Notamacropus eugenii: one gene and its partner. The protein of the gene in region 1 purifies or fractionates together with the protein of each later gene. This does not show direct contact. Links are inferred from orthologs where the notes say so. Each region holds a gene or a part of one and is shown in the gene's direction. Other genes may lie near its edges. The genes, in order: OGDH and DLST.

What was found.
Region 2: the proteins of OGDH (region 1) and DLST fractionate together in Homo sapiens (co-fractionation; 3 studies listed by BioGRID). This does not show direct contact. The link is inferred for Notamacropus eugenii from reciprocal best matches to the Homo sapiens genes OGDH and DLST.

What each region holds. Positions count from the first base shown.
Region 1 is NC_092872.1:522,887,645-522,898,156, forward strand, and holds the start of OGDH (2-oxoglutarate dehydrogenase complex component E1), read left to right. Parts: upstream 1-6,040; 5' UTR 6,041-6,198; intron 6,199-8,597; exon of another isoform or gene 8,598-9,012; intron 9,013-10,512. UniProt on the Homo sapiens protein: 2-oxoglutarate dehydrogenase (E1o) component of the 2-oxoglutarate dehydrogenase complex (OGDHC). Participates in the first step, rate limiting for the overall conversion of 2-oxoglutarate to succinyl-CoA and CO(2) catalyzed by the whole OGDHC.
Region 2 is NC_092878.1:57,651,457-57,661,495, forward strand, and holds the start of DLST (dihydrolipoyllysine-residue succinyltransferase component of 2-oxoglutarate dehydrogenase complex, mitochondrial), read left to right. Parts: upstream 1-5,897; 5' UTR 5,898-6,596; coding exon 6,597-6,923; intron 6,924-7,826; coding exon 7,827-7,860; intron 7,861-10,039. UniProt on the Homo sapiens protein: Dihydrolipoamide succinyltransferase (E2) component of the 2-oxoglutarate dehydrogenase complex. The 2-oxoglutarate dehydrogenase complex catalyzes the overall conversion of 2-oxoglutarate to succinyl-CoA and CO(2).

The sequences.
Region 1 (10,512 bases):
AGAGTCACCTCTGACTCCATAGCGCTATGTAACTGTTTTCTTTATGGGGAATTGATCAATTAATTAATTAAATCATAAAATGTATGCATTTAGCCATGCTGCCTTTTCTTAACAAAGTTTTCAGGTCAACAGTAGATAGAAAACAAATGCAGTCTCTGCTTTCTAGAGTCCAGCCAATCTAGCCTCACAATTGGGACTCCATCTCTTGCCTTTTTCCTGGCTATCTGCCATGCTTTGAAAGCTCTCCCTTCTCACCTGTGATCCCCAGAATCCCTCACTTCCATCAACACTCAGTTTATGTGCTATCATCTGCTGGTGGCTTTTCCCAGTTTCCCCATCTGCTAGCGCCTTCCTCCCTAAGGCTATCTTTCATCTACTTTTATATGCTCCGTATCTGGAGTAAATATCTAATTATGGGCAGCTAGTGACACACACACACACACACACACACATCCTTTAGAATGCAAGCTCCTTGAGGGAAGAGTATGTTTGCAATTTTTCTTTCAATATCTAACTCTTAGTAGCCTAGCACATAGAAAGTGCTTTATAAATGTTCATGGGCTGACTGTTCAGCAATTTGCTCAAGGTCCAGCAAGTAGTAAGAATCACAGCCAGGATTCAAATCCAGCTTCTCTAACTCCAAATTTAATGTTGTTTCCACTAAGCTGCCTTACTCTGCTACCTTTTCTTCAATAGTAAGTAAGCTTCTTGAGGTCAAGGGTTGTTTTATTTTGGTCATTGTATCCCCAGTGCCTAGTTTGGTGCTTAGCGTGGAGTAGACAGCTCAATATATTATTGTTTGTTGATTAGTTAGGCTGATCTACCTTGGAGCAGGTCTCTGAATGGACAATGTTTTCCAGAATCCAGACAATACTGGCAAATGATAGGAGCTCTTTAAGTCACGATATAGGACTACACCTTTCTTGGAGAGGAAAAATTAAAAACACTATGAGAATATCTTTCTTAATCATCTATATCCTGCCCTAAACAGGGGGATATTCCCCAAAGTTCTGACTTGGGCGTTTCCTTACCTCCCCTCTCTCAGTGATTTTGTCACTTCCTATAAGATCAAATATCATTCCTATGAAGATGTTACTAAAAAAATATACACACATCCATAGTCTCTTCCCTGAGAGAGCCAAATGCCTTTTAACGCATTTAGACTAGGATGTCCTACAGGCATTTCAAAGTCTATGTCCAAACAAAACTCATTATCTTTCCCCCAATCCTACCCCTCTTCTGACTAGAATGTACTCTCTCTTCATATCCACCTCTTTAAAAATTTAATTTGTCCCAAAACTCAGCTCAAACGTCACTCTTCTACCTAGAGTTTTCCCTAGTCCCTCCTTCTACTAGTGCCTTCTTCCCTCAAAATAATCTAGCATTTATATTAAACGTTTCTTATATGTACTTTTATATCTACACCTTTTCTCTCTAATGGAATGTAAACCCCTGAGGACAAGGATTGTTTCATTTTTGTTCCAGTAGTTAGTGCCTAGCATAATGACTGGCACATAATAGGTACTTAATAAATGCTTGATAATTTATTGATTTACCATTATTCCTACCAGCCTTCTACTTGATTCACTATTGAAAAACTATTAGTGAAGTGAGAAAAACATTCCTGATGTTAAGAGTTTAACAAAAACATTTTTATCCAACATTGACCCAAAGGTTTCTTTAGATGTATAATCACATTTTAAGTGACTACATCATTTGTAAATGTTTTGGTTCTTAAAAATAACATGATATACCTGAAAAATACTGCTCATTTAACTTGGAATTTTACAAAAATGTTAATTACCATGTTGTTCAAACAATGAAAAAAATACACATCTTTCTCTTTGTTAGTGTGCTAGAAATGGAATTTTGCACTTCAGGCTTTCTCCTTATATTGCAAGATCCTACAGCACTAGGAGATATCAAAGATCCAAGGACTGGTTCTCAGATTTGCAGAGACAGAAACTCCACTTTATTCCTTCACTTAAGGGCTAACCAAGCTGTGGAGGACCAATATATACTAACAACTCAAGAGACTGACTAATGAAGCTAAAATGCTCATATATTAATGCAGACTAATTAGTGAATGGACCAAAGTATGGCTGGCCGGTGCTTCTTCTTTCCAGCCAGAAAATCTAGCTGGAAAGCACAATTAAAAAAAGTTTGTTAGTACATAAAGTCTGAGTAAAGAGAGTTGGATAGTAATGGATAGTGTCATCAAACTTTAACAGACTGACACAATCAACCATCATCTATTGAGGATCAAATAAGATAATGTGAAAGCCCTTTGAAAACGATGAAGCAATATGCAAATATAAAGTATTCTTTTGCCTTCTTAATGTTTTTAGTGTTCTGGACTTCAAGTGGTTGATTGTCCTCTGTTCTCAAAGAGGACCAAAATGACAGCACTATGTTAGAGTCAAATTACAATGTGTCTGACTGTGCCTGATCAGACCAATATGACCTGGAATTTTCTACCACAGGTCAGGCACAAATAGTCCATGCAAACATTAGGAGTGGGTTCTCTAGATGTGTGCATCTTGAGACTTCAAGTGGTACAAAGTAGGACAATCATTCATCTGTGACTTATTAGTTAAATCTTACAGAGTTGCCTGAGGCACAAAAATTTAGCGACTGCTCAGTGAATGCTTATCTACATATCTTGCAATGACAGGCTGTTTCTATACCCCAGTAGTACTCAACAAGACTATTTTATGCAAATCTGATCAAGGTATTAAGGTGCTATGCAGTTGGCCCCAGGGGAATTACAACCTGTCAGACTCTGGGATATGTGTCTGGGGCATATTTCCCTCATTTGTAAAATAAGTACATCGTGTAAATGGTCTCTAAATGCCTTTTAGTCATTCTCCAGCAGTCTCAGAGATTCTTTCATAAGACAGTAAAGCACTGCCTTTGCTTTTATCTTTTTTATGCACGGGTGGGTGGCATACATAAAAATGAGAAGGAGTCTCATAGGCCTTTAAGGAACTTTCTGGTAAACAAACTCATTGAAACAATTAGAAAAAAATAGGATTGTACATTAAGAGTGGCAAAGGGACCTCAGTGGTCATCTAAATATTCCTCACTCCCCTTCCCGGAGCCAGAATGATAGAAAAGTCAACTGTTACATTTTCAATCAGCAAATTCTACAAATCAGTCCTTAATTTATTATTTTGTGGATTGTTAAGACTTCAGAAAGCTAAGGAGAAAATGTTAATAATGTTAATAGGACCTTTTGGAGAGTCAGTCAGTTGTTAACATATATCAGTATACCTCTCTCCACTGGTTACTAGTACCCTATTTGCTCTAATTGTTTTTTAATCTCTTTTGTTTTTATTTTTCTGTGTTGATGTTATTTACGCCCAGTTGAATGTAAGCTCCTAGAGAACAATCTTTCTTTCCCTTTTTTCTTTCTATCTCCCGAACCTAGCACACAGTAGCTGAGTAATATATCCTTGCTGAATGAATTAATCTAGCAATTTTTCATATGAAACTGAGGCCAAGAGAGATTAATTAGTTGTCACACAGGTGGTAAGTAAATAGTACAGGTGTAATTTGAAACCATGTCCTTTGATTTCAGATCTTAGCATGAATATAGATCTTTACACTGATTAGTATAAGGCACCATAGTTGCCAAAATATATGGAGCCAATAGAGTGCCACGGAAAGAAAGGGCTGATCTCGAAGGGATCTGAAATCAAATGCTGTCTCACTTGCTTGCGTTTATTTGCATTACAATTAAGTTTTTTAAAAGCAAACTTACTGATTTTCTGAGTCAAAAAAAAATTATTCAACTAACCTATATGCTTCTCTAGTCCCTCTTTTATGTCCCCTCCTCTTTGATTTCCTTTTACCTGCTTCCTGTCAGCTGTCTCTGCTTCTACTACTTCAAGCCTCAGAGATTCAGTTCCTCGTTTACAAAATAAGAAGGTTAAACAAAAGACCTGTAAGGTCTTTTCCACCTCTGATACTCTATGGGCCTTTTGAACTTTTTTGACTGCACTCATTTCCAGCTTCTTTGGCTTCTCCAGCTGCACTCATTTAGGACTTTGTTCGCTTTTCCCTCCCAACTTGCGTTCAGCTTTTTTGTATTGTCTTCTTCATAAGACTGTAAGCTCTTTGAGGGCAGGGACTGTCTTTTTTGGTATTTGTATCTCCAGAGCTTAGCACAGTGTCTTGCATACAGTAGGAACTTAATGAATGTTTATTGACTATAGTTTGTAATACTGACTAGAGTTACTGAGGCTTTATGTGGAGGGTGTAGATTATGATTCAAAATACTCATGCTTCCCTGTGTTGACCTGAAAACTTGGTTAAGAAAAGGCAACAGGCTAATTGCATACATTTTATGATTTAATTAATTAATTAATCAATTCCCTATTAAAGATAATGGTAACATAATGCATTATGGAGCCAGAAATGTTCTGGCTACCCAGTGCAGAAATCTTCTGGCTTATATACATTTTGCCGGGAGAAAGGAACTCTCCTAGTTGAACAAATCATAAATTTAGTAAGACAAGACAATTAACAAAGTAATGTTGGTCAGGCCTTGGGATTCCAGCTGGGTAAACATATGTCTCGGTGATAAAGAAGGAAATCCCACCACTAGTAAGTGGCAGGCTTCCTGCCCTAAACAGGTAACTGACACAGGAAAGGGTAAACAATGTTCAATAGAAACCCAGAATGCCTATTTTTTCTTTACCATTAATATCCCATAACGTAGTATGTGTCCATTATTCAAGATATGTCATAGGTTAAAGGTCTCCCAAGGAGTGCAGAGTCAGCTTTGGCTGGCTTTTGCTGACATAGGAAGAGGCATTCTCTGAGTTTGCTTTAGAGAGAACAAAGAGATTATTCCAAAATTTTATATTAAACATTATCACCTGTCAGACAATATTCTTCCTTGGCTATTTTTTCCCCCAGGGCTAAAGTGCAGGGTCCAGAGTCAGGAAGACCTGAGTTCAAATCTGGCCTCAGATACTTACTAACTTCATCAAGTCACTTAACTCTGTTTGCCTCAGTTTCCTCATCTGTAAAACGAGGTAGGGAAGGAATAGCAAACCACTTCAGTAACTTTGCCAAGAAAATTCCATTTGGGGTCAGGAAGAGTTAGATACGACTAAACAACAAAAAGTTTTTGTTGTTATTGTTTAGCCTAGCACAAACAAGTTAAATGATCTAGGTTTCACAAAACTAGTGAGTACACCAAGAATAATTTGAAGCCAGGACTTCCTGAGGTAAAGTCATACCAGAACACCTCTACAACAGCTGTTCTTAACTGTTCATCTGTCATGGATCCCTTTTTGGCATAATGGCAAAGCCTATGGACCCCTTCTCAGAATAATGTTTGTAAATGTATAAAATAAATTACAAAGAATTACAAAGGAAAAAAGTCACATTGAAACAGCATATTCCATATTAAAAAAATAAACTTCAGAATCCCCATGTGAAAGAGGCTGCTGCTCTCTAACCTACACGTACTTATTCCTATTATCTCATGAAAACATTAATATTTCACTAATCCAATCAAGCGACTGGTGGATAAATGCTTGCTGAACTGAATTTAACTAAGTAATTATTCCATCTCAGATGAGGTTCCAGCCCCAGCTGTCAACATCTAAGGAAAGGCAGGGCCCTAGAAACGATGACTAAGCGCTGTGTGACCCGTGCGGAAAGAGTCGAGAACCCACGTGCGGGCGGGGGCCCCAGGTGCCTCCCTGCTTGGCCCCATCTTTTCTACCGCCTTCTCCGCGCTGCGCTCCAGGGTCTGCGCGCGAGTCCAGCACGCGCGCCCTTCCACTGTCACAACATTCCATTGGCCCTGGACGCCGCAGAGACGCGGAACACTGTGACGTCACAACTCGGGCACAGTGGTCCCTATCTCTAGAGGGGGCGTCCCGGGTTAGGCCTCACAAGCGACAGCGGGCCCAAGGGAGGAAGGTCCTCCCGAGAGGCAGCTGTCCGGTTTCACGCGCCGGGAGTCCAGAACTCGGGGGTGGCACAAATGCATAAACTAGACGAGTTAGGAAACTGAGAGCCCAAGGGCGGTGTTTCACCTTCTCCAGGCTCAGAGGGGGCGGGACAGGCTGCGTGGTGACGTAACACGCCGGGCGGGAGGGGGCGGGGCGAAGGCACTGGTGTTGCCGAGTGTGGGGGAGTCGGTACCTCATTCCCGGGTGGAGCCGGAGTCGGAAACAGGTAACTCCTTTGCTCCTTCTGTTTGTTTGTCTGGGACCGGGGCTAGGTCCAGGACTGGGGCTTTTGCTCCGTGGGCTATAGGGGCGGGATAGCTACGAACAAGAAGCACGGACATCGTGTCCTTGCAGCCGCCGCCCGGGTGACTTGGCCGGCCCTCTGGAGGGGGAGGGGGTTTGGGACTAGGGGGTGGGGGGGAGAGAGAACGGGGTAGGGAGGAGAGTCAGAACCAGGATGAGGCTGAGGGGAGACGGGTGGGGATGAGAGAATTCTGAAAGACTTTCTCTGGAGCCAATGGGCAAGGCTGGAGCGGTTTGCGGGCGAAGATTGGCGGCTGCCGGCGCGCGCTGCGGGTGCCGCGCGGGCGCGGCGAGGATTCTTATTGGTGGCCTGGGATGAGGGGGAGGGGTTACTTCGGCGGGCGGATGTGAGGGAACCAGTTGCTGCCTCCTCTCCCGTGACCCACAAGGTCGAGGGGAGAACATCACGTGGGCATTGGAAAGGAGGTGATCTTGTCCGGACACCTCGTCCCGTTTGTCCCTTCCTATTCTAAGTCGGGTCTGAGCCACTCCCACCCCCATCCCTCCAATCCTGGGCACGCCCTACTGCTCCTTCGAGTGTGTGGCTGCCTTGGGAGTAGAACTCGCCCTCCCTTTTGCCGGGGGACCCGCCCCGCCCCGCCCCGTCCCGCCCGGGAGTCCCGCCCACCTGGCTGTCCAGCCCGGCTGGAGAGCGGCCGGCGGAGCCCTGGGTGGGACGTTGTAGCCGCCTTCTTGTCTTGTTTGTGCCTGGGTCTGGCAGAGCCGGAGTCCCCTAGTGGAACCTGCGTCTTGGATGTGCATTTCCGCTCGGACTCTCGGTTCCTTAGATTTCGGGGCTAAGGGAGGTCCTGGAGGAGACTGGAGGCGTTTTTACAACCACACAGTTACTTTTTTAAAGCCTATTAGTTTTCTCTAAAAACTAGGGAAGGAGCAGGGCCCTTGAAGGGGCAGACTCATCAAGGACTTTATTTTTTGACCTCTCATTTCCGACCTTGCTATATTCCCCCTCAGTTATCTTTCCTTAAGAGACTTACGATATTATCTGCTTCTCTTTCCAAACCTCTGGGAATGAGAAAAATAGTAGTTACAAAGTACTTTTAAACTAGTGTATGAAGTTTAACAGACCTAAGCTGAGTGGCACCTTTCCATAGAGCCTGCTTGTTCTAGCAAGAATATCTTTGTGACAAAGTAACACTTAAAATGTTAGAAGGTTGGCCAGTTGATGACCTTTCAGACAAGGCTGTGAGGCAATAGAAAGACTTAAGATTTTGAAAGAAGAGGATGTAGGTTTGAATCCAGGCTCTTCCACATGCTAACTATGTGTGACCTTGGAAAAAATAATTTCACTTTTTCTCATTTTCTTTTTTTTATGTAGAGGATAACGTGCTTTCCCCCCAATTTTTTAACATTTTTGTTTAAATTTTTGAGTTCCAAAATCTTTCCCCCTCACTTCCTCCCCTCCCCCCTTCCTGAGACAGTAAGCAGTCAAATATAGGCTATCCACGTGCAATTATGCAAAACATTTTCATATTAGTCACTTTGTACAAGAAGATTCAAATAAAAGAAAAACATGAAAGTGAAAAATAGCATGCTTCATTTAGTATGTATTCAGTCAATATCAGTTCTTTCTCTGGAGGCATATTATGTGCCATCATTAGTCCTTTGGGATTGTCTTGGATGGTTGTATTGCTGAGAATAGCTAAGTCACAGTTCTTTGTGGAAAGTGTTAGTGTGTATAATGTTCTCCTGGTTCTGTTCACTTCATTATGCATCCAGTTCACAGTTTACAGGTTTTTCTGAAATCATCCTGCTTGTCATTTCTTAAAGCACAGTAATACTCCTATAATGGAGTCATATACCACAGTTTGTTTAGCCATTCCCCAATTGATGGGCATCCCTTTGATTTCCAGTTCTTAGCCATCACCAAAAGAACTGCTATAAATAGGTCCTTTTCCTTTTTTTTGAATGTCTTTTCCCCATCCTCATTTTCTTGAAAGGTTAGGTAGCAGATGACCACCTCTAAGGTCCCTTCCAACCCTCCATCTCTGATCCTAAAGGAAGAAGGGGATTTGTAGCTTCTCTAATCCACGATCTTTGACAATTCCCTTAACTCCCTGTTCTTCACTTAGGAGTCTCATTTATTCACACTTTCCAGAAGTTCAGTAAAGTGTTTTTAAATTAGTAATAGGGAAATAAAGTGAATTATCAAAGGTCTGCAACATGACTAACCAAGCCCTCAGAATCTTATTAATGAAACTTTTTTTTTATCTTTTAAAGGAAAACAGTTTTGCCAAACTCACCTTGTCTGCTACTCCAGTCCATCTTTTCTGACCCCACTTTCTTTTCATTGCCTTTTGCCAGCTTCCTATCTAGAACTGAGAAAGGGAGAGATGGCAAACTTCATCTACTTCACTAGGCCACAAGAGGTACTATCTCAGGAAGGAACTTCCTTGGTGCTGGCCTCATCTGTACCTTCAGTAATTGTGGCCACTTTTCCAGTTCTCTGAGTAGGCTTTCTTTGACCTCAGCAGCCAGAGTAACCTTAAGTAACAGTGAGTATCTTGGTCTCAGGCCACATGCTTCTATTTAAAGTTGCTTGATCTCTGAAAATCAACTGAGAACTGCAGAGAACTGCTTTAGCTTCTCCAGGATGGAAGACTGTCTTCCCAGTGTTGGAGTTATCCTGCATACCCCAGGATGCCCTTTGCCTTTTGTCAACCCAGTTGATTGTCCAGTTGCTTGGATCCTATTTTAGGTACCTGTTTTGATTTATCAGGTAACTGTCACATTACTTATATTTGTTTTCCCAATTTTTTTTTTTATTCTGAACTTAAGAAACACCCCACAAAATGAACATTACTATATACAAAGTGGAACAGAAAAAGGGAATTATATGTGAAACCACAAATCTCTACTGCATAAATTTCAAAGTTTCTATTCAGCTCTAGTATTTTCATCAGGAATACTTGGGAGTATTCTCTTTCAAAAGTCCATCTTTTCCCCTGTAGCTTAATTTTTTATTTTTAAATTAATTTTTAAATCAGTGAAAATCCACCTCCTCTTCCTCCCATATCCCAGTCTCCATTGGGGGGGAAAAAACCCGGAAATCTCAGTTACAAATGTTATTTATTTTTGTTTACTGCTTTCCTAGCCTGAGGCAGCTGGATGGCTAAGCCTGGAGGCAAAATAAAAAAAATCAGTCAATAAGCATTTATTAAATACCTACCATGCACCAAGTTTTTTGCTAAGTCTTAGAGATACAAAGAGGCAAATGACAGACCTAATCCTTGAGGAGCTCACAATCTTATGAGGAATACATCAAACAAACACATATATACAGGATAAATAGGAAATAATTAGCAAAACGACTGCACTAGAATTAAGGAGAAGTTGGGAGAAGCTTCCTGTGGAAGGTAGGATTTTAGTTGGACCTTAAAGGAAGCCAGGGGAAGCAATAGGCTGAGAATGTTTCAAGAACTGAGTTCAAATGCAGCCTGGCACTAGCTGTGTGACTGACAAATCACTTAACCTCTCTTGCTTAGTTTCCCCAATTGTAAAAGAGGATAATAATAGGACCTACTTTCAAGGGTTGTGAGGATCACATAAAATAATATTTGTAAAGTTCCTGAAACATAGTAGCTGCTTTAAAAACATGCTCATTTCTTTTTTTCCTTCATTTTCACTTACATTCATTCTTGTGAAAGTAATTTGGTGTATTACTCTTAACTTGGTCATTACTCTTGAATGTTAATCCTTCCCATTTAAGAATTCAAATTTTATTAAAAGGCGCTATTGGTGAATCTAAATTTGGTATTTTTGTATTGGCTCAATTGCCTAGTATTTTCTTATTTTGTCTCTGATGATATAGTGTTGTCTGGATTCTATGTTCCCGTCCTCACTAATTCTCCTGGTTTTCTCTAGCTATACCCCATTCCTAGAATGTTCTTCTTCATTTCCACCTCCTAGCTTCCCTGACTTCTTTGAAGTTGCTAAAATCCCACCTTCTCTAGGAAGCCATTCCTGATCCCTCTTAATTCTAGTGCCTTTCCTTTGTTGATTATTTCATTTTTATCTTGTATATGGCTTGTTTATACATAATTATTTGGTATTTCCTCCATTAGACTGTGAGCTCCTCAAGGACATGGACTGTATTTTTCCTCTTTTTGTATCTCCAGTGCTTCACACAGTACCTGTCGTGTAGTAGACACTTACTAAATGTTTATTGACTGACTGATTGACTTTTTTGCTAATTCCTTTACCCCTTCCCCCACTCTTA
Region 2 (10,039 bases), on another chromosome or scaffold:
AAAGGGTATGGATCTTTTTATTCCTAAGAGGGGGAAAAAATTGTCACGGAAACCAGTCACCTGTGTGACTATTGGACAGAAAGCATAATTTTCTGACACAAAAGATCTGACCATACATCAGGATATAAGGACAAATTATAGCTCTTCTCCAGTGCATATAACCACAGGGCAAGAAGGGTTTAGAATATATGAGTCTTGTCATTCATTATCAGCAAAACCTTCATCTCTGAGCATTTAAAACCAAAGATACAAAAAACCATTTCCTTTCACCAACTTTTGTTGTTGGACTGGATTGATTCCCTGAACAACATGAAAGTGGCATCCTCAAAAACCACATTTCAACCACTAGCACAGAATGGTCGGGACTCATGAACAAGCTGCAAGTCAGCATTGAGCTTCCCTTGACAGCAGATGCAAAACACCAATGAAATGGAATGACAGACACTCACGGAGTGTGAGAGATGCTAAATGGGCAATCTCCTTTTGTCTGACTGAGGGTAAAGATATTAAACCACAGCTGCTGCAGCCCATAGAAAGTTAGACTGTGGTAGCTACAGTAGCACCATCAAGAAAGAACTCCCAGCAAGCCACTTCCCTGCAAGGGTGTAATTAAGTAGTCTACTGTTGCCAAAGTGATTCCAAAGGAGAAAGCCAACATCACGAGAAGTGTGAGAACCTCTAGTGACTGGAAGATACTTGTGTTCCTGAGTGCGTGGGTTTTTAAGAAATAGGAAGGACTCTTCTGGATTTAAATTTAGAAACAAACTAAAATGACAAGATACTTTGAGGTCTTTGGATAAAAGGTAACATCTGTTGTTATTTTTTGTTATCCTAATCATTCAGCAAGTATTTCTTAAGTACCTGCTGTGCACAGGTCCTGTGCGGAGTCTGTACGGCAATCCTTAATATCATCATCCTCATCATTTACAGACCAGCCCAAGTTCGTCCAAGATTCAGGTCCTAGAGCACTCAAGATTCCCAGAGCCTTTTCCATCCTTATCCCTAATTCTGAAGTTATACAACGTGTAATTATATAATCTTGTTCATTTCAATGACACATCAGCAGTCAGGAACTCCTTGGCTTCCTCAAACTTGTCTGAAATGAGTTGCTTTGAAGGTTTTTTATAGGAGCAGAGAATTTATATTTAGAGTTGGAAAAGGTCTTAGAGGATGTCAAGTGTCTGGTATCTTTATTTTATAGCTGTGGAAACTGAGACAGACAGGTTAAGAAACATGTCCAAGGTAACGCAGTTAGTAAGTGTTTGAAGTCAGGTTATCCTTCAAAGTCCAGTGTTCACTCCACTTTACCATACTATCTCCTTAACCTCTCTGTGGAATCTCTGACTCTATAGAGTCAGAAAATGAGAATTCTAGCCTTAGTCTCCTCAACCTATAAAATGGGAATATTATTATTTGCCCATACGCATACTCATGCCACCTCAATCCCCTCATTTTAAGTACCTCGAAGTGTTATTGTGAGGATACAAAAGTGCTAAGTGTAAGAGGTTATTATTACTTACCCAAGAAGTACATCCAAACAATCCGGTTCCTGGTAACTTCGAGTCGGGGGAACATTTCCCCTCAAAGGTGGGTAGATAGAGAGATGTCTTGAGGCTACAAAACTCCCCACGAATATTTGCAGAAAAATAAACTTTGGCAGGTATTGCCCTCTGTTTTCCCCCACAGTAAAGTCCTTTTACCGAGGCTGTGATGAATTGGGATGCTACCTGCTGATGGCTCCAGGGTGTGGTAGGCAGGCTGAAAGGCAGGGCCCACTGGCTCTCCCTTTGGCATTGAAAGCCCTTACAGAAGGCAAGGCAAGGGAGACTGTTCCAAAGCAGCCAACCAGCTGTGGGGACCTTATGAATATGCAAATTAAGTACAGTTTAGTGCAAATTGGGCTTTCTTTCCCCAGCATATGGCTGTGTTGCTCAGGAGCCAACAAAGCTCAGCTTAATTCAATTCAATATAACAGCCTGAAAAAGTGGCTTTCTCTTCCTTTCCCAAAACCCCAGAAGTCTCTTTAGAGCAGAATACACTCATTTTATAGATGAAAAACTAAGGACCAGTAAAGATAAATGGTTTGTCCCTGGTCACCCAGGTATTAAGTAGCAGGTCTGAGATTTGGAAGGAGGTTCTCTGATTCCAAATTCCACCATACCACGCTTATCTGAGAGAAATGTAGATGAGCCCCATCTATTGATCCAATGAATAGAAGTTCTTTGAAGACGTGTGTGGGCTATTTCACTTGTGTCTTTGAATTCCCAGAACCTAGCATGGGGCCTGGCACATGGTAGCGGCTTAATAAATGCTTGCTGATTGACTGATTGATGACATCAAGTGGAGCTCTGGGCCCTGACTTCAGAAGACCTAGACAAATCCTCTCCAAAATGAAAACCCTGTCTTCTCTTCCCTTCAGTGTCCTGGCTGGAGGCTTTAGAAACCTATCCCTGAGCAAAATACCTCATTTCAACTTTTTGGAAAAGACCAGGTGCTATGATTTCCAGAATCCAGCTCTCTGAATGAGAGAGGGTGGAGACACCAGCTAAGCAGAGGAATAAGAACAAAAAAGAATGATGAGGGATTTTGGGTGGGGGGGGGGGCGCAGAATTAGGGAAAAGCTTTTTGTAATATTTATAACCAAAGTTTCCTCAGCTTTACCATCCTCTCCCTCTGTGACTTAAAAAGGAAAATAAGTAATAGAGGTTGCACAATGTCTTTGAGTTGTGGTACAATACTTATCACAAATTCCCTTGCAGTAGATCATGTCTTTATGAAAACAGAAACTTTATAACTGAATGGTAGCCATGAAGTATGGAGCCTCTTTGTATCCCTAGAAAGTTTGTGTAGGGGTGTGTTTGTGTAGATACCAATGTGTCCATAGAACATATTTGCCACATCGCAGGCTTACTTGTTTAAGGCTCATGATCAAAATCCTTAGCGGAAAAAAGTACAAAAATCTCCTAGGGAATTAAGTAGATGACAAACCAATATTTTGTTGTTGTTTAGTCGCTTACAGTCGTGTCCAACTTTTTGTAACCCCATTTGGGGTTTTCTTGGCAGAGATAGTAAAGTGGTTTTCCATTTTCTTCTCCAACTCATTTTACAGATAAACTGAAGCAAACGGTTAAGTGACTTGTCCAGGGTCACACAGCTAGCAAGTGTCTGAAGCCAGATTTGAACTCAAGAAGATGAGTCTTCCTGATTGCAGGACCAGCACTCTTATCTACTGCACCATTTAGCTGCCCCCAACCAATATTAATAGCAATAAAGATAAAGAATGAGTAGTTTATTGGAAGGAGAATAGGAAAAAGAGACAGGAATTCTAAATTCTAGTCTCAGCTCCACTGACTGTGACCTTGGGAAAGTCAGTTGATCTCGCTAGTCAAATGAGGCGGAGGGATTACTAACTGATCTCTCGGATCTCTTCTATCCCTAATAATCTGTTGGAATAATCTAAATTATTGTGATTCCTGACTATTGTTCTTTGGGCCTTTAGATAGGTCTGGTGCTGTTCTAAGTATGGTTGGTATTTATGGATTGTTCCTCCATAAGCTAAGAGTTTCTCAGGAGCCATTCTACCTTTCCCCACAGAATCTCATTAGTAGGCTTGTGATTTCAGGAAATAGCAAGCAAGATAAAGACCTGGAAGACTAGATAGTGTCAGTGAATCAACTGATCTAGTATCTGGTAAGCCCTGCTATGTGCCGGCCACTGTTCTACATGAACTGACACTAAATGAAACAACTTTAGCCAAAAAGTCAGTGTTATTAGTCAATAAACCTAAATTTAATAAATTTATTCATTAATAAATAATGAATAAAACTTCATTAATTCAATAAACATTCATTCATTCAATAATATTTATTAAGTGCCCAGATGGGACCCAAAGGAACGCTTTTCTATGCAGACGCAGATAAGAAATTGAAGATGTAGGGCCTATATCAACAGAAGTGGTTTAATGAAGGACCGCAAAATATCCTTTCTGAGAGAACCCTCATCTTCCCCTTGATTCCTTAGGCACAACTTAAGCAGTTCAAATCCCATGTGTGCTGACTACTGTTGAGTAATTATAATAGGACCTGTGTGCTGGTCCTTTGCCACTTATTCCAGACCATTCAAAAAATAGCATCCTTTCTTCCTTCCTCCATGCCTTAAAAAAAAAAAAAAAAAAGAAAGAAAACAAAAAACCTGTTCTGCTTTCAGATTTTTTTTTCCCCCTGTTTCTTTTGGTTATAACTACCATCCTTCCAGTCACCCAATTTCAAAACCTACCCCAGACCATTGTTATTGATTCTATCTTTGCCATGTTTCTCAAGTTTGTCCCTTGTTTCCCATTCCCATTGCTGCCACTTTGGAACAAGTGTTTATTATCTCCTGCCTCTATTGCATTATCTCCTTCCTCCTCTTTGTATCTGCAGTGCCAAGCACAGGGTCTCACACATAGTAAACCCTTAATGTGTGTGTTCATCCGTCGTTGCCAAAGAAGACCATGCCATCAGAGAAATGATGACATGATTTGCACTTGACTTTGTTTTGAGTGAGGGAAGGCTGTGCAGGTCACCAGCCTCACTTCTCCTCCAGAGCCATCTGAATCCAGTGCCCAGATATTCATCAGGATGACTGAAGATGACCTAGGATGAGGTAATTGGGGTCAAGTGACTTGCCCAAGGTCATACAGCTAGTGAATGTCAAGTCTCTGAGGTGAGATTTGAACTCAGGTCCCCCTGATTCCTGCTCTGGTGCTCTATCCACTGCACCACCTAGCTGTCCCCCAGTAAACCCTTAATAAATGCTTGTTGAATGAATGGTTGATCTCCCTGCCTCCACTTTCTCCTCACTTCAGTTCATCCTGTGTACCCCTACTAGGTTAATCTTTTAAAAGTATCACTTTGATCATGCTCAGAAACCTTGAATGGCATTCCATGGTCTTCCAGAATAAAGGTGGAACACCTTTAAATGGCATCCAAGAACCTCCATTGTTGTTCAGTTGTTCAGTCATGTCTTCATGACTCCATACTGTCCATGGGGTTTTCTTGGCAAAGATACTGGAGCGGTTTGCCTCCAACTCATTTTACAGATAAAGCAACTGAGGCAGACAGAGTTAAATGACTTGCCCAAGGTCACATAGCTAGTAAGCGTCTGATGGCATATTTGAACTCAGGTCTTTCTGACTTCCTGAGACCAGATCTATATCCACTGAGCCATCTAACTGCCTTTTCTAGTCAAACTAGTCTATTATTACTCTTCTACACATTGAACATTGCCAGCTCTGTACGTTTTCTTGCAGTTTTCCTCATTCAGAATGCCTTGTCTCTTCCTGTCCACTTACCTCTCCTTCTTTCAATGCTCAACTCAAACTTCACTGCCTTTGTGAAGTATGCATTAGTTACCTCTACCTTGATCACAGTTATTAATTTCCCTTTTCCTCCTTGAACAATTCTTGTTTGTATCATCACTCGCTGCCTTGCATTGTCTATTATACATTATCTAGTATCGTCCTCAGCTCATAGCACACTTTTTATTCCCCCAACTAGACTTTAAGGGCCATGTGGCCCTTAAACTGTCATACATTGCATTTCCTACTTAGCATAATATCATGAAAGTATTTGATAAATGTTGAATAACATAGTCTGAAGATAAGCAATGACCTACGGCTTTCTATAAGGTAGATGTACCTCTGACTTTTGAGTAGGGCTAGATTAAAAACAAGTTTATGATAAACTATAAATATATTTCTAAGCTGACTCATTCAACATGAAATCCTTTCATCCAGTGGACTCATCATCACCAGTAAGTATTTCTAGAGTGCAACGCTGTCCTAGATACTCTGTATATTAAGAGGCATATGCCAATGTCCCTATTCTCAAAGGGATTGACAATCTAGTTCATTCAATTTTAAAGTAACATATGTGAGATTTTATTCTAGATAGAATAATTCGTTCTGTTGTTGTGACCAGCTCTCATCCTGAACTCTCCTGCCTCAGTGTAGTGCACTTTCTTTGTATCTCCAGCACTTGGCAGGGAGCCTGGCACATAAGTGACTTCTAGTCCATGTGTGATGTACGTTCCACGTTGGTGGCCTTGACTTGAGAGCTGCTACAGGAGTTCAGAGAAGGGCTGGAGTAGTTGAGGAGTGCCTTCATCGGAAAGGTAGCCTTGGAAAGTCAGGGTTTAGTTAAGCAGACAGCAGGTGAGAAGGAAAGGAGCCCAGTTCCTCCGTGGGATGTACAACAATGGGGAGCCTCTGATTAAAGCGGAGGGGTTTGTGGAGGGAGCTGAGCAGAGGGTTACCCTTCATGTTAACACCGATTAACCCCTGCTGTGCGCAGAGCTGTAACGCGTGCTGGGGGAGGTAGACCGCTGATTCAGGGGCTGTGCCCCCCTGGAGCTAACGGGGTGGCGGGAGGGAAGACGGGCACAGGCAGCTCTGCCAGCTTGTGTACCCCCCGTCCCCTTGAGGGCCCCCAGGAGGCTGCCTTGGGGTGGCTCCGGTGAGAGGGCGAGGGGAAGGAGGGCGTGATCTATTCGGACGCTGCGCTAAGACGGTATCGCGGTTCTATTGGCCATCCGTATCAGTTATCCGTAAAACGTTTATGAAGCGCCCCGTAGAGGTCCCTAGGGAAGTTAAAGGAGGGCATGCGGCACGGTGCCCGCCCTCGATGGCCGGACGGAGGAGAAGGGTCCTCGGGCAGGCTCGGCCTCGGCCGCTCGGGGGCCTTCCCCCGCGAAGGGCTGCGATGGTAGAGCCCTGGCCTCCCCTCCTCCTCGCTCACGTGGCACCGCCCGCCGCGCTTCCGGCTGTTGCCGGGCCCTATATCCGGTGTCCGCCCGCTCTAGGCTCGGCTTCCCGGATCGCGATGCTGTCCCGGTCGCGCTGCGTGTCCCGGGCGTTCAGCCGCTCGCTCGTCGCCTTCCAGAAGGTAGGCACCGGGCCAGGGGCGAGCCGGAGCCGAGAGCGCGCGTTCGGGCCCGGCAGGCCCACGGAGGCCGCAGGGCAGGGCGGGGCGGGGCGGAGCAGGCTGCGGGGCTGGCCCGGGCACCAAGGGCACCGGGACGAGGAGGCCGAGGGGGAGGCCGAAGCCGCGGCCCTGAGAGGCAGCAGGCGGGGTGCGGGGCCTCGCGTCCCGCCTCCTCCCCGGGGCGGGCGTGGGGCTGTGCCGCGCCCCCGGCCGGGCCTCCTTCCGCTGCGCCCCAGGAAGCGTGGGATGGTCCCGGAGGTCAGGCTGCTGTCCTGCTCGTGACCTTTAGAAAGAGGGCGGCCCCCCGGATCCCCGGTCGACCGGGACGGAAGGTCAGGGCCCGCGTCCGCCTTGTGCGGTTAGTCACGTCCCCCGGACTCCGCGGGGGCAGGCTCGCGGTGTCCCCGCCCCCGTGACCCGCACGCCCTGCGGGCCCATCCCCAGAGGATGATGAGAAGTGCGGGACTCGGGTGTTTGGGGAGGGGGGCGCGGAGAATGCTTCTCCCCGAAGCTCCGAGGACCGGGGAACGAGTCCCACCTTCGGGGAGTGAAGGGGACTTTTATTTTTTAACATTTTGGAAAAAGCCGCTCTTCAGCAAACGGCGTTATGGCGGGGTGAGGGCCTTGGTTCAGGCCCCCTGCCTGGCAGGGGCTGACCTGGGGACCCCTGCAGGGAGGGGAGCTTCAGGGCTCTGGGCTCCATCCTTTCCACTTTAAGCTCCTCACACTCTTGGCCCTTGTAAGCCTCTTTTTTTTCTTTTTTAAAACTACAGGAGTATTGGGATAGTTACGTGGGTGGGTGAGGAGGAGGAATTTTTCCTCTCATCTCTTGGGAAATTCTGGTAATGCTTTCTCTCTCCACAGGGGAACTGTCCTTTAGGGAGGCGGTCTTTACCTGGTAAGTTTTGCCCTTCCTCGTAACAGCAGTCTGTCTGTAAATCCAGGTGCTCGACGTATTAGGTTGAAGGATACATGAGCTTATTGAGAATTATTGTCAGCAAACATTTCGTCTATTATAGGATGGAAAATGAAATATTGAAGTGAAAGGATGTGTTGTGGAATGAACTGGAAATGTGTCTTGGTCCCTGTGGGTTCTTTAAGGCTAATTCCAGAAGGTTTCAAAGGAAGGGATGGCTTTAGGATCATACGTAAATTCGGCATTTTTCAGTCATTCAAGCTGTTCTACCATGTGCTTATTATAGAGAATGTAGGCATACAGAATCTGTATCTTTAGGGGATAGCTGAGTTACTGCATTTTCACCCTCTTGTTGAATTTGTAGAGAGCTAGCATGAATTGAAGACATCTCATTTTAGGGTCTTCTCCTCAGCCATGACAGAAAGTAAAATGTTAATAGACTGAAAAACAGGAAAGACTAAATGATAATAACACAGGAATAATATGTCAGTGGAAGGAAGACTTTGGAATAGAATGTCTCTGCTTTTAAAAAATGTCCCCCCCCCCCCAAAAAACAATCGTAAAATAAAAACAAAGAACAATGAAAAACACAGTCCCAGACCCTATAAACATGAGAAAACAGTTGGGAATAACGGCACATATGTAGGTATCTTTCTATTATTTACTAATTTTGTAAAAGAAATCAAGACCCATGTATGGGTTGTGCAGGACAACACCTCTGCCTCTGTCTGCTGTTGTCTTCCTTTGTTTAGTTGGCTGGCATATACTGTTCTTTGGGTTCTGCTTTTTTTATTCTGCCTTACTTCACGAAAAGATCTCATTCTAAGATATAAGGAACTGAGTTCAGTTTATAAGAAAAAAAACATTCCCCAGTTGGTAAAAGGTCAAAGAATATGAATAGGCAGTTTCAGGGGAAGAAATTCAGGCTGTCAGTAATCTTATGAAAAAATAATCTAAATCGCGTATAATTAGAGAAATACAAATTAAAGCAATTCTGAGGTACCACTTTGAACCCATCATATTGCCTACGATGATGAAAAAGGAAAATGATGTGCTGGACAGACTGTGGAAAACAGATATCCTAATGCACTTGTTCGTGGAGCTGTGAACTACTCCAGCCCTTCTGGAAAGCAATTCAGAATTATGCCCCCCAAAGCTGTTTAATTACACATGTCCTTTGGCCCACCAATACTATACTAACTTAAGGGGATGTTTTTAGAAATAGCTGGGAAGATGTGTATGAACATCATGATAGAAAGTGAGGTAAACAGAGCCAGCGGAACACTTTGTTCAATAACAGCAATGTTGGAAAGATAATCAGTTTTGAAAGATTTAGTAATTGAACACAACAATGACCAACCACAATTCTAAAGAACTCATGATGAAACCATGGCCCTAACCACTTCCATATGGAAAGCTGATGGGGCTCAGAGTACAAATCAAAACATTTCTCTTTTTGGCCATGGCTAACTCTGGAATTTGTTTTGCATGACTATTCATTTTTGTAATGTCTGTTTCTTCTGCCTTCTCAGTGGGTGGAGAGAATTTGGAACTGAAAATAAAAGCAGAAGAAAGTAATGCTGCTGAAGCACATTAACTTCTGATAGGGGTGATGAATTCAAGGGTGCTGAATGAGACATCCATTTTCAGACATGGCCTGTGTGGGGATTTGTTTTGTTTGTCTGTGCATATCTGAAGAAGAGATTTTATTTTTTTCTCACTTTTGGGGGGAAAAGGGGATAGGATGATACCAGACTGAAAAAAAAAAATGGGTTATCAGAGTATTATAAAAAGTGAATAGAGAGCCGGAACTAAGGTCAGTAGGAAATACATAAGGAGTACAGCTTTGAAAATAATGTGTTAAATTTATTAGACTTAGAAAAACACTCTCTTGCATCTTTATGTACAGTTCTCTTTTTATTCTACTTTGTATACAGAAATACTTTTTTGGTGTTCAGAATTTCTTGAAGAAAGGGAAGGTGCTACTGTGAATATTTTTATACAAATAAGTCCTTTCTTCCTTTTGCTTACCTCCTTAGGGCATAAATCTAAAAGCAAAATTTCTAGGTTAAAGGGTATGAATGTTTTGTGACTTTTGTTATATAATTCTTTATTGCTTTTTTGCATAGTCATATTAATTCACAACTCCTCCAGCAATGTG